2 linked regions of the Mus musculus genome follow. The protein of the gene in region 1 interacts with the protein of each later gene in a biochemical or structural test. Links are inferred from orthologs where the notes say so. Each region holds a gene or a part of one and is shown on either strand. Other genes may lie near its edges.

Region 1 (3,805 bases):
GCGCTCCAGATCTGAGCCAGGCATGTTGAGCTGTACATAAGCCACCAGCTGCTTGAGGCAGGGAAAGTCCGGAGGTTGACAGAAATCCTCTGAGTATTGGTCCAGCCAGGTGCCCAGGATGGAGGAGATGGCACTGGGGACACGCAACAGAGTCAGAGGCATGGTCTCTCCTCGTACCCTCCCACAGCATCCTGGTGTGCCTCCACCCACAAGTCCCCTTTGGCTGTCCAAGTAACTAGACAGAGGCTACAGAGGGTCCTACAGGAGGCAGCAAAGGCTCATCAATGGGATGGTGGCTCACCCGGTTCCCACTCCTGCCCAACTCTACTGGAATGGAGATGCCCAAAGGGCCTGCCATTCAACCAGTGGCAAGGGTTACCTCAGTACCTATTCTTTGTAAGCCAGGTATGGGTTGCATTTTCCTGAGGGACTCAGGGACCAGCTAAATGCCCATTCTTAAGGAGTGAGGCTGCACGTCTATTGAGACAGGCTATGCTAGGGAAGGATTTTCACAGTGACTGGTTCTGAATCAATCAATCAATCTCTCTCTCTCTTTCACACACACACACACACACACACACACACACACACACACACACACACACACCCCTCCTCTTCCATCTGACACAGGGGTAGCCTTAGACCTTAGCCCAGCATCAGGAACCACATGTGTGGGCCTATAGTTTGCTCGACCCTTGTTCCCTAAACCTCCCCTCTGGACGTAAAGCCTACTTACTTTTTGAGTTGGTCCTGCGGTCCGCCGTCCTCACTGGAGTAGGGGAGGATGCAGCCATATCTAGAGGAGGCCGTGAGGGCGTCACATCTACCGTACCTGCTTATGATGTCTAGTGTTACTGGTCAACTCCCTGATGGGAATGGGGCCCAGGGAGGCAGGGACTCAGCTCCTGTCACAGAGTTAGGTGCTTGGCAACATGGCTACGCACAGCAGATTGCTTTAGAAACCGAGGCACTTCAGCAGACCTGAGGTCTCTCAGTCGATTACCACAGGGCCGTCCTTGCTCTGTGTTCTAGGTTGAGGTCCCCTCCTTTCTATGTAGGGAACCCACTTAACCTGAGGCTGAGGAGAGGAAGGCCCTGGCAGCCCACCCTGACAGGAGCCTGAAAGGAGGCTTATCCCCAAGCTGGGCTCCCCCAAGGTGCGGCCGGCAGGAAGGGTGTCCTGGGTCTGGCGGCAGTGCTCACCTTTTGAACAGCAGGTCTAGCACCTGCTGGGTGGTAGTGAAGGCTCTGTAGGTGCACAGGAAGACAGTGACGTAGGAAAGGTCACTGCCCTGGAAGGCAGGCACCAGGTGTTCCACCAGCTTCTCCAGAGTACCAGCCTTCACCGTGCGCACCTTGCAGGTCTCATAGAGGTTCAGAGCCGACTCGTTCTCACACTGCGGGGACAGGAGAAGAGCGAGGTCAGTAGCAGGGTCATGTTCTCAGGGACGCTGGAGGCTGGAGCTCGGGTCACCTCCTGGACACCCTCAGCAGAATGTGGCCCAAACTGGGACAGAGGGTCTCTCTCTGGTTTTAAAGTCTTGGATTTTCAAGCAGAGTTTGAAGTGTTGAGCCCTTCAGGGCGGTTTCTTAGGTGAGTGACAGCATTCTCTAACATACTCTGTGGGAGGGGGATGTTTCCAAACTGAACAGTCCATCCTAGAGGTGGAAAGACAGGCTTACTCCGGGGGCGGGGGTGGGGTGGTGGTGGACCCAGAATGTTCCCTGAGCAAGTTCAATGACCACAGGAAAGAATCATGCTGGATGCAACAGTGGTGAAGCATGGCCGTGTGGCGGCATCAGCGCTGTCTTCTGGAATGTTATGTGGCTGAGTCGGTCAGGCTCAGCTTCTTAGCTCAAGGGACCCACAAGACTTGTTCTGAGACAGCAAGTTGCAGAGAAGTGTATACATGTTGAAGAATTTTGTCAACTTGATACATCTGACAAAATTAGAGTCATCTGAGAAGAGACCCCCCGCCCCCAACTGAGAGATGCCTCCTTAAGCCTGCTGTGGACAAGACTGCTGGGAGAGGGTCCAGCCCTTGTGGGTGGGGCCGTCCCTGGGCTGGTGAGCCTGGGTTCGTGAGACAGCAGGCTGAACAAGCAATGGGAGCAAACCAGTCAGGAGCTCCCGCCCCTCCATGGCCTCTGCATCAGCTCCTGCCTCCAGGCTCCAGCTCTCCCCTCCTGACTTCCTTCAGTGATGGATGAGGATGCCAAAATGTGAGCCAAATGAACCCTTTCCTCCCCAGCTTGCTTTTGGTCATGGTGTTTCTTTATAGCAATAGTAATCCTGGTGAGATGGCTCAGTGGATAAGAGCACCCGACTGCTCTTCCGAAAGTCCGAAGTTCAAATCCCAGCAACCACATGGCTCACAACCATATGTAACAAAATCTGATGCTCTCTTCTGGAGTGTCTGAAGAAAGCTACAGTGTACTTACATATAATAAACAAATAAGTGGAAAAAAAAGAGTTTAAAATAAAAATAAAAAAAAAAAGTAATCCTAAGACAGACCGCTTACAAAGCCTAAACTTCCATTCAATGAGGGCAAAGGGCAGTCCTGCTGTGAGAGGATTTCTGACACTAGGAGGAAGAGGACAGGGGAGGGGAGGAGTGACATGTGAGGACAGCTTTTAAACCGAGCAAAATATTTGAATATGCATGGCCTTATGGGCAATGAGAAGCAAAGCCAATGGCTTCTCTTCTCACCTGTGGGTAGGGATGTCAGCAGGATCTTTGTGCATGGGCTGGGGAAGGGAGGGAGGCTCAGCCCAGAGTCGCAAGAGGGACTGGGGCCCTCAAACAGAAAACTCTGGAAAGGAGTCTGGCAGGGTCACCCTCCTGGTCTCCTCTCCACACTTACCCCTAGCCAGCGCTGGCCCTTAGTGGCTCCTTGGTGTAGCTGGACCTTGCGCAGGGAGATGGAGTAGATGACCCCGTTGATCAGCTCCTCCCCAATCTCCTGCGTGGAGCTCTGGAAAGACAAGGCCCAAGAGCCAGGCCAGGCCATCAGGGGTCTGCTATAGGGGCATGGCACAGACAGGTGGCTTCTGGACTTCCAGGGCGAAGAAAATGGAGAGCCAGGACTCCCCTTCCCACCTGGCTCCTCACGACCTTAAGGTCAACATCTCAGGAACCTGCTCCTACTTAGTACTGGACAGCCCAACACAGTCTACCTGGACAGTACTGTTATTCAGCCATTTCAGAGACGGGTAAGTGGAGGCTGAGGCAGCCAAACTGTCTGGTGTATATGACAGATCCCCTATGCCAAGGCCCTAGCATGGTCACAGGTGGCACTGGCCTCAGAACCCAAGGCCAGGGTCACCCACACTCTTCTTTCATTGTCCCATCTGAGGTTCCAGGCTGACCAGGCAGCAGCAGGCAGCTCTTTCTAGCCCAGTGCTGGAGTCGGCACCATGGCTCTAGGGCAGGTGCAGACGCTGACCACATCTGAGGCCACTTCCTTCCCCTTCTGCTCATTCATGCTGCTGAGACTTCTTGGGTAACATGGGGGTTCCCAGCTGGCTGTTCTTCCTCATGTGAGTGAGTGGGGTACTGCAACAGTGCTGGGGATCCACAGAACCCCAAATCATGAGGCCTATATGGAGAAGGGGGTCATGTGACTGCTTCTCAGAGCCTAAAGCAGAAATGAAACATTCACTTCCTTGCACCTCAGGCTCTCTCTACTCCTGCCCTCTGGAGAAGGGATAGAGGGGACCTGATTCCTGGAAGTCAGTGGGTAACAAGAAGGCTCATGACCCTAAGCAATCCTGGCCTGGACCCTGTGGGAGTGTCATGTGTTC
Region 2 (4,336 bases), on another chromosome or scaffold:
CTGCCAGATGGATGTCTCCTGAGGGACCGGAAAATTTCTCACCCTGAAGACAAAAGTCCCAGTTTTCTCGATTCAGCCCACGATCCAGCCCGCATCCTCTGCCACCACTTCCATGCCCATCTCCAGGCAGAATGCCACGGAGGCGACGTTAGAACAGAACTCATCCCTCTTGTCTGCCAACGCAACCCGCTCCGGTGCCAGAACACCAGGGGGTCGGGCGCTCGAACCCTGCCCCTCCCAGTTCCCCAGCAGCCCTGCACTGTCTCCACAGTGCAGGTTTGATTGGCTCCGCCCAGCCCTCTGTCACTCCTCAGTTGGCCTACGATTGGGTACCAGGCCGTGCGCAAGCGCAAACTCTCAGCCCCTCCAGGCCCCGGAGGGGAGTTGGCTCAGTCTATCACTGGGTCTTACACCAATTGGTTAGCAAGATGAGACGCCTTTTCATTGGTCAAGAGTGGTAGTCTAGAGTCCGGACTCACAATCTGATTGGCTACAGTGAATCCGAGCTTCCGCGCAGACACCCCCGCAGGCTGTTGCTGAGATGTTCTGGGGTCTCCCGACAGTGGGGGGCGGATCCGAGCTCCAGGTTTTCCAGGCGCCCAAGGCTGTCTACCAGCCCGGGGGGAGGAGCTCGGCTTACGTCAAACTCGACAAGGGCGGGGCTAGAGGGCGGGCCGGTGACGTCATCGGGCGCGGACCGGGTTTGCGTGTAGCCTGGGCGCCACGGACTAGCCGAGCTTCGATTTGCTTGTGTAACTCATGGCGGCGGCCCTTAAGGCTCACGTCGTTACGTATAACGGGATCAAGCCAAAGCTCTCCGAAGGCTGACAGGCTGAGTCATGTATGTCAGCCATAGGCCGGCCCGTCCTGAGGTCCCCAAGCACGGTGCGCACGGCTTCCTAAGCCCACGGTCCCTCCACCGTCACCTCCCGCAAACCCCCGAGCGTGGGCGTCTGACGTTGCCTGCCTTCGGGCGGAGGAGAGCGCGCAGACGCAGTACGGAGGCCGGTCAGGCTGGGTGTTGCCGGGTGTCGCGGAAGCCGGTCTTCTCTGGAGCGCGCGGACGGTCGCTAGGCGACGGCGCGAGGGGCGGGCTTTCTTATAGACCCCTCCCACCCGGCTGGCTCCGCCCCGGGCAGCGCTGCGGCTGGGCTCGGGCGCGCGCTCCAGCGCTGGGGAAGCGGCGGCGGCGGCGGCAGCAGCGGCGGCGGGAGCTGGGCGTGGAGGCGCGAGGGGCGGGGCGGGCGGCATTGCGGGCCCGCGGTTCGGGCGGCTCCGGCTCGAGGTCGAGCTCTGTTGCTGCTCTCGCCCTCGGGGCTGCATCGTCCTCCCGCTTGGCCCGCTCACAGGGCCGCGCACGACTCGTTCAGCTGCAGCCCCGCTGCCGGCGCCCGGGGCGCTGCCGCGGCCGTGAGCCGACGAGTCCGTAAGGGCGGCGGGGCCGCGGGGTCGGGGCGCGGCGCGCGGGCGCAGGTCTATGTCGCGGGCGGCGGCGGCGGCGGCGGCCGCGCAGGGACGATGCGCGAGTACAAAGTGGTGGTGCTGGGCTCGGGCGGGGTAGGCAAATCCGCCCTGACCGTGCAGTTCGTGACCGGCACCTTCATTGAGAAATACGACCCCACCATCGAGGACTTCTACCGCAAGGAGATCGAGGTGGACTCCTCGCCTTCGGTGCTGGAGATCCTGGACACCGCGGGCACCGAGCAGTTCGCGTCCATGCGGGACCTGTACATCAAGAACGGCCAGGGCTTCATCCTGGTCTACAGCTTGGTCAACCAGCAGAGCTTCCAAGACATCAAGCCCATGCGGGACCAGATCATCCGCGTGAAGCGGTGAGCAGAGCGGGGCACACGGGGCTCGGTGGCTGCGGCGATCCCGGTCCTTGGCTTGCCCGGGCTACACCACCTCCTCCAGGGGCTCAGATTTGTGGGCTTTGTTTCACAAGTGAAATTGGGCATCCTGTTAACCCTCAGCCCAGCCCTTTGTCTCTAGGACGTTGGTAGCGCTTCTTCGGGACCCTAGAAAGAACAAAGTTTCAAACTTGCAAGGAAAGAAGGGATGAGTAGGTGGGCGCTAGGGAAAGGGGAGCTGTCTTAGTGTAGGCACGCCTGTGAAGAGTGAGCGCGCGCTTAAATGCACCCGTAAGAGGTTTGACAGCCGAAATTTGTACATACATATCTTGTGACAGTGTCAATACTAAGTTAGGGGGGACCTTTCTCGTTGCGGAAAAGATTAAATGTTGCCAGGAGGTTGGCAGAAATGGATTAGTGCAAAACTTTAAAGACACATTGGCAAATAATTTGAAGACCACACAACATTCAGTTGGCTTGGCATATAGAAGCACACTTGTGACATTTACGCGGAGAGCGTGCAGATTCAGTTCTCTTTCTCTCTTAAAAGCTAGCCTCCTCATCCCCCCCCCGCACCCCCCCCCCGAAAAAAAAAAGAACAGGGAAGGAGGCTATTCTTGGAAAACAAACAGAAGTTTAGTCTGAGTTCTGGCTTGTGTATCAGCTAATTTAAAGTTAATGCAAAAAAAAAAAAAAAAAGAAGAAGAAGAAGAAGAAGAAGAAGAAGCAAACAAGCTTTTTCCTGATATAAAGTGTTCAAAGGATGTATTTTTGCATGTGGCTGGTGACCTGAATGCTTTTAGTGTTTGTTCTCTCTTAAGTTGATGCTATGCATTTTCCCCTTAACCTTTTAAATACTGAAAGTCTAACATGTTACTACAGAGTTCTGGCATCATTTTCTAGTTCTTCTTTACTGATAACGCTCCTCTCTGGTCCTTATTAACTAATACTACTGACAGTCTTCCAGGATTATTTTACCTGTAGCTACATTTGAAGTCACCATTGAAGGTTTAGGTAGAAACAATCACACTTATCCATCATTTGGGGTTTATACACTTCAGAGCTCAGAGCAAGTTATTTGTATTCAGGGAGTACTTAAAAATTCCTTCCAAGTGGTGTTTTTTTTTTTTTTTTTTTTTTTTTTTAGTGGTGGGTTTTTAACCCTGTACAGAGGTCAAAGGAAATGCCCTCTCCTCAGTGCCTGCTCCAGCCAGACTAGAAATTTCTGTATTCCCGCATTAAATTCCAAATCACAAAGCAGTGGCTATGATTATGATCTTTTCCCAAAGTTGGTGACACTGGTAGCCTTAACTTCTCTAGTGTTATTTTTTAGAAATGTGTTTCCTTGTGTGGTACACACGTGTGGGTGTGTTAATACGTTTGTCTCGAAGTTGTTTACAGATCATGATGTAAGTGCTGCAGTTGTCCCACCTTCACACCCAGTGCATGCCCACACGTCTGTGCTAAGATCCCCAATGGCATGGGCCACATCATGTCGGAGTTTCTGTTGGCTTCGTGTAGCTCACGTTTCTCAGTTATAATGATGGGCCAGTTTATTTACTAGAGCAGTCCGTTGGCATCTCAACCCAGGACAACAGACTGAGATTGGGATTCTATTCACCCAGGGTCACTAGTTGCAGCTCTTGATGTAAGAAGAGCAGTGATGAGCTGAGTTGAGTTGAGCAACTTCCTGTGGGGTAAATGTTGTGTCATTAGAGCCTCTCTGGACCCACTTTCTTTTTTTCTTCTTTTCTTTTCTTTTCTTTTTTTTCTTTTTTTTTTTTTTTTTTTTTTTTTTTTGAGACAGGTTCTCTATGTTGGCCTGGCTGTCCTGGAACTCACCATTCATACCAGGCTGACCTCAAATCCATAGAGATTCTCCTGCCTCTGCCATGGGGCACTGAGATTAAAAGGTCCGTGTCCAGCTTGGGCCCCTACTTCTATGTCCTGGTTTTTGTACCTCACCCTAAGTTCATCATTTGCCTTCCAGGTCCGGGTGAGCTGTAGGTTATTCCCATTGTACAGCAGTGTATAAGGCAATACTCAAACCTGCTGTGGGGGCACGCAACTCCTCTCAAGAGAAAGCATGGGTTTACATTAGTGCATTTTCTACTCTTTGGGGGACCAGTTCCTTAACTACTCAGTTGCTATAGGAAGTATTCAGTAATTCCATCTTCTGCCCATTGTGTGCCAGCTGTCTGCTTTACATATGACATACAAGAGCTTTGGGGCGGTTAGTTACAGTGCCATAGTGCAGTTGGCATAACTGAAAGGCTATGGCTTGATAACTCACCAATTACTGATAAAGAGAATTTTTAAGATGTCTGAGTCCATATAGCCTCTTCTACACAGGTGTGTCTTTCAGCTGCTAATACATTTCTTCAACCAGCTAACTATAAAGTATTATCACTTTAATATGCCACACAGTATTAAACTTATTCAGCTCCTGTACTTTCCTATGCTGTATCTTCCAAGTCTGTTAGGAC

Evidence for each region.
Region 2: the proteins of Ralgds (region 1) and Rap2a form a complex in vitro, tested with the Homo sapiens proteins (2 studies listed by BioGRID). The link is inferred for Mus musculus from reciprocal best matches to the Homo sapiens genes RALGDS and RAP2A.

What each region holds. Positions count from the first base shown.
Region 1 is NC_000068.7:28,539,882-28,543,686, reverse strand, and holds part of Ralgds (ral guanine nucleotide dissociation stimulator), read right to left. Parts: intron 2,977-3,805; coding exon 2,866-2,976; intron 1,398-2,865; coding exon 1,204-1,397; intron 906-1,203; exon of another isoform or gene 836-905; coding exon of another isoform or gene 833-835; coding exon 737-832; intron 134-736; coding exon 1-133. UniProt on the Homo sapiens protein: Functions as a guanine nucleotide exchange factor (GEF) activating either RalA or RalB GTPases and plays an important role in intracellular transport. Interacts and acts as an effector molecule for R-Ras, H-Ras, K-Ras, and Rap.
Region 2 is NC_000080.6:120,477,209-120,481,544, forward strand, and holds the start of Rap2a (ras-related protein Rap-2a), read left to right. Parts: upstream 1-1,252; 5' UTR 1,253-1,518; coding exon 1,519-1,832; intron 1,833-4,336. UniProt on the Homo sapiens protein: Small GTP-binding protein which cycles between a GDP-bound inactive and a GTP-bound active form. In its active form interacts with and regulates several effectors including MAP4K4, MINK1 and TNIK.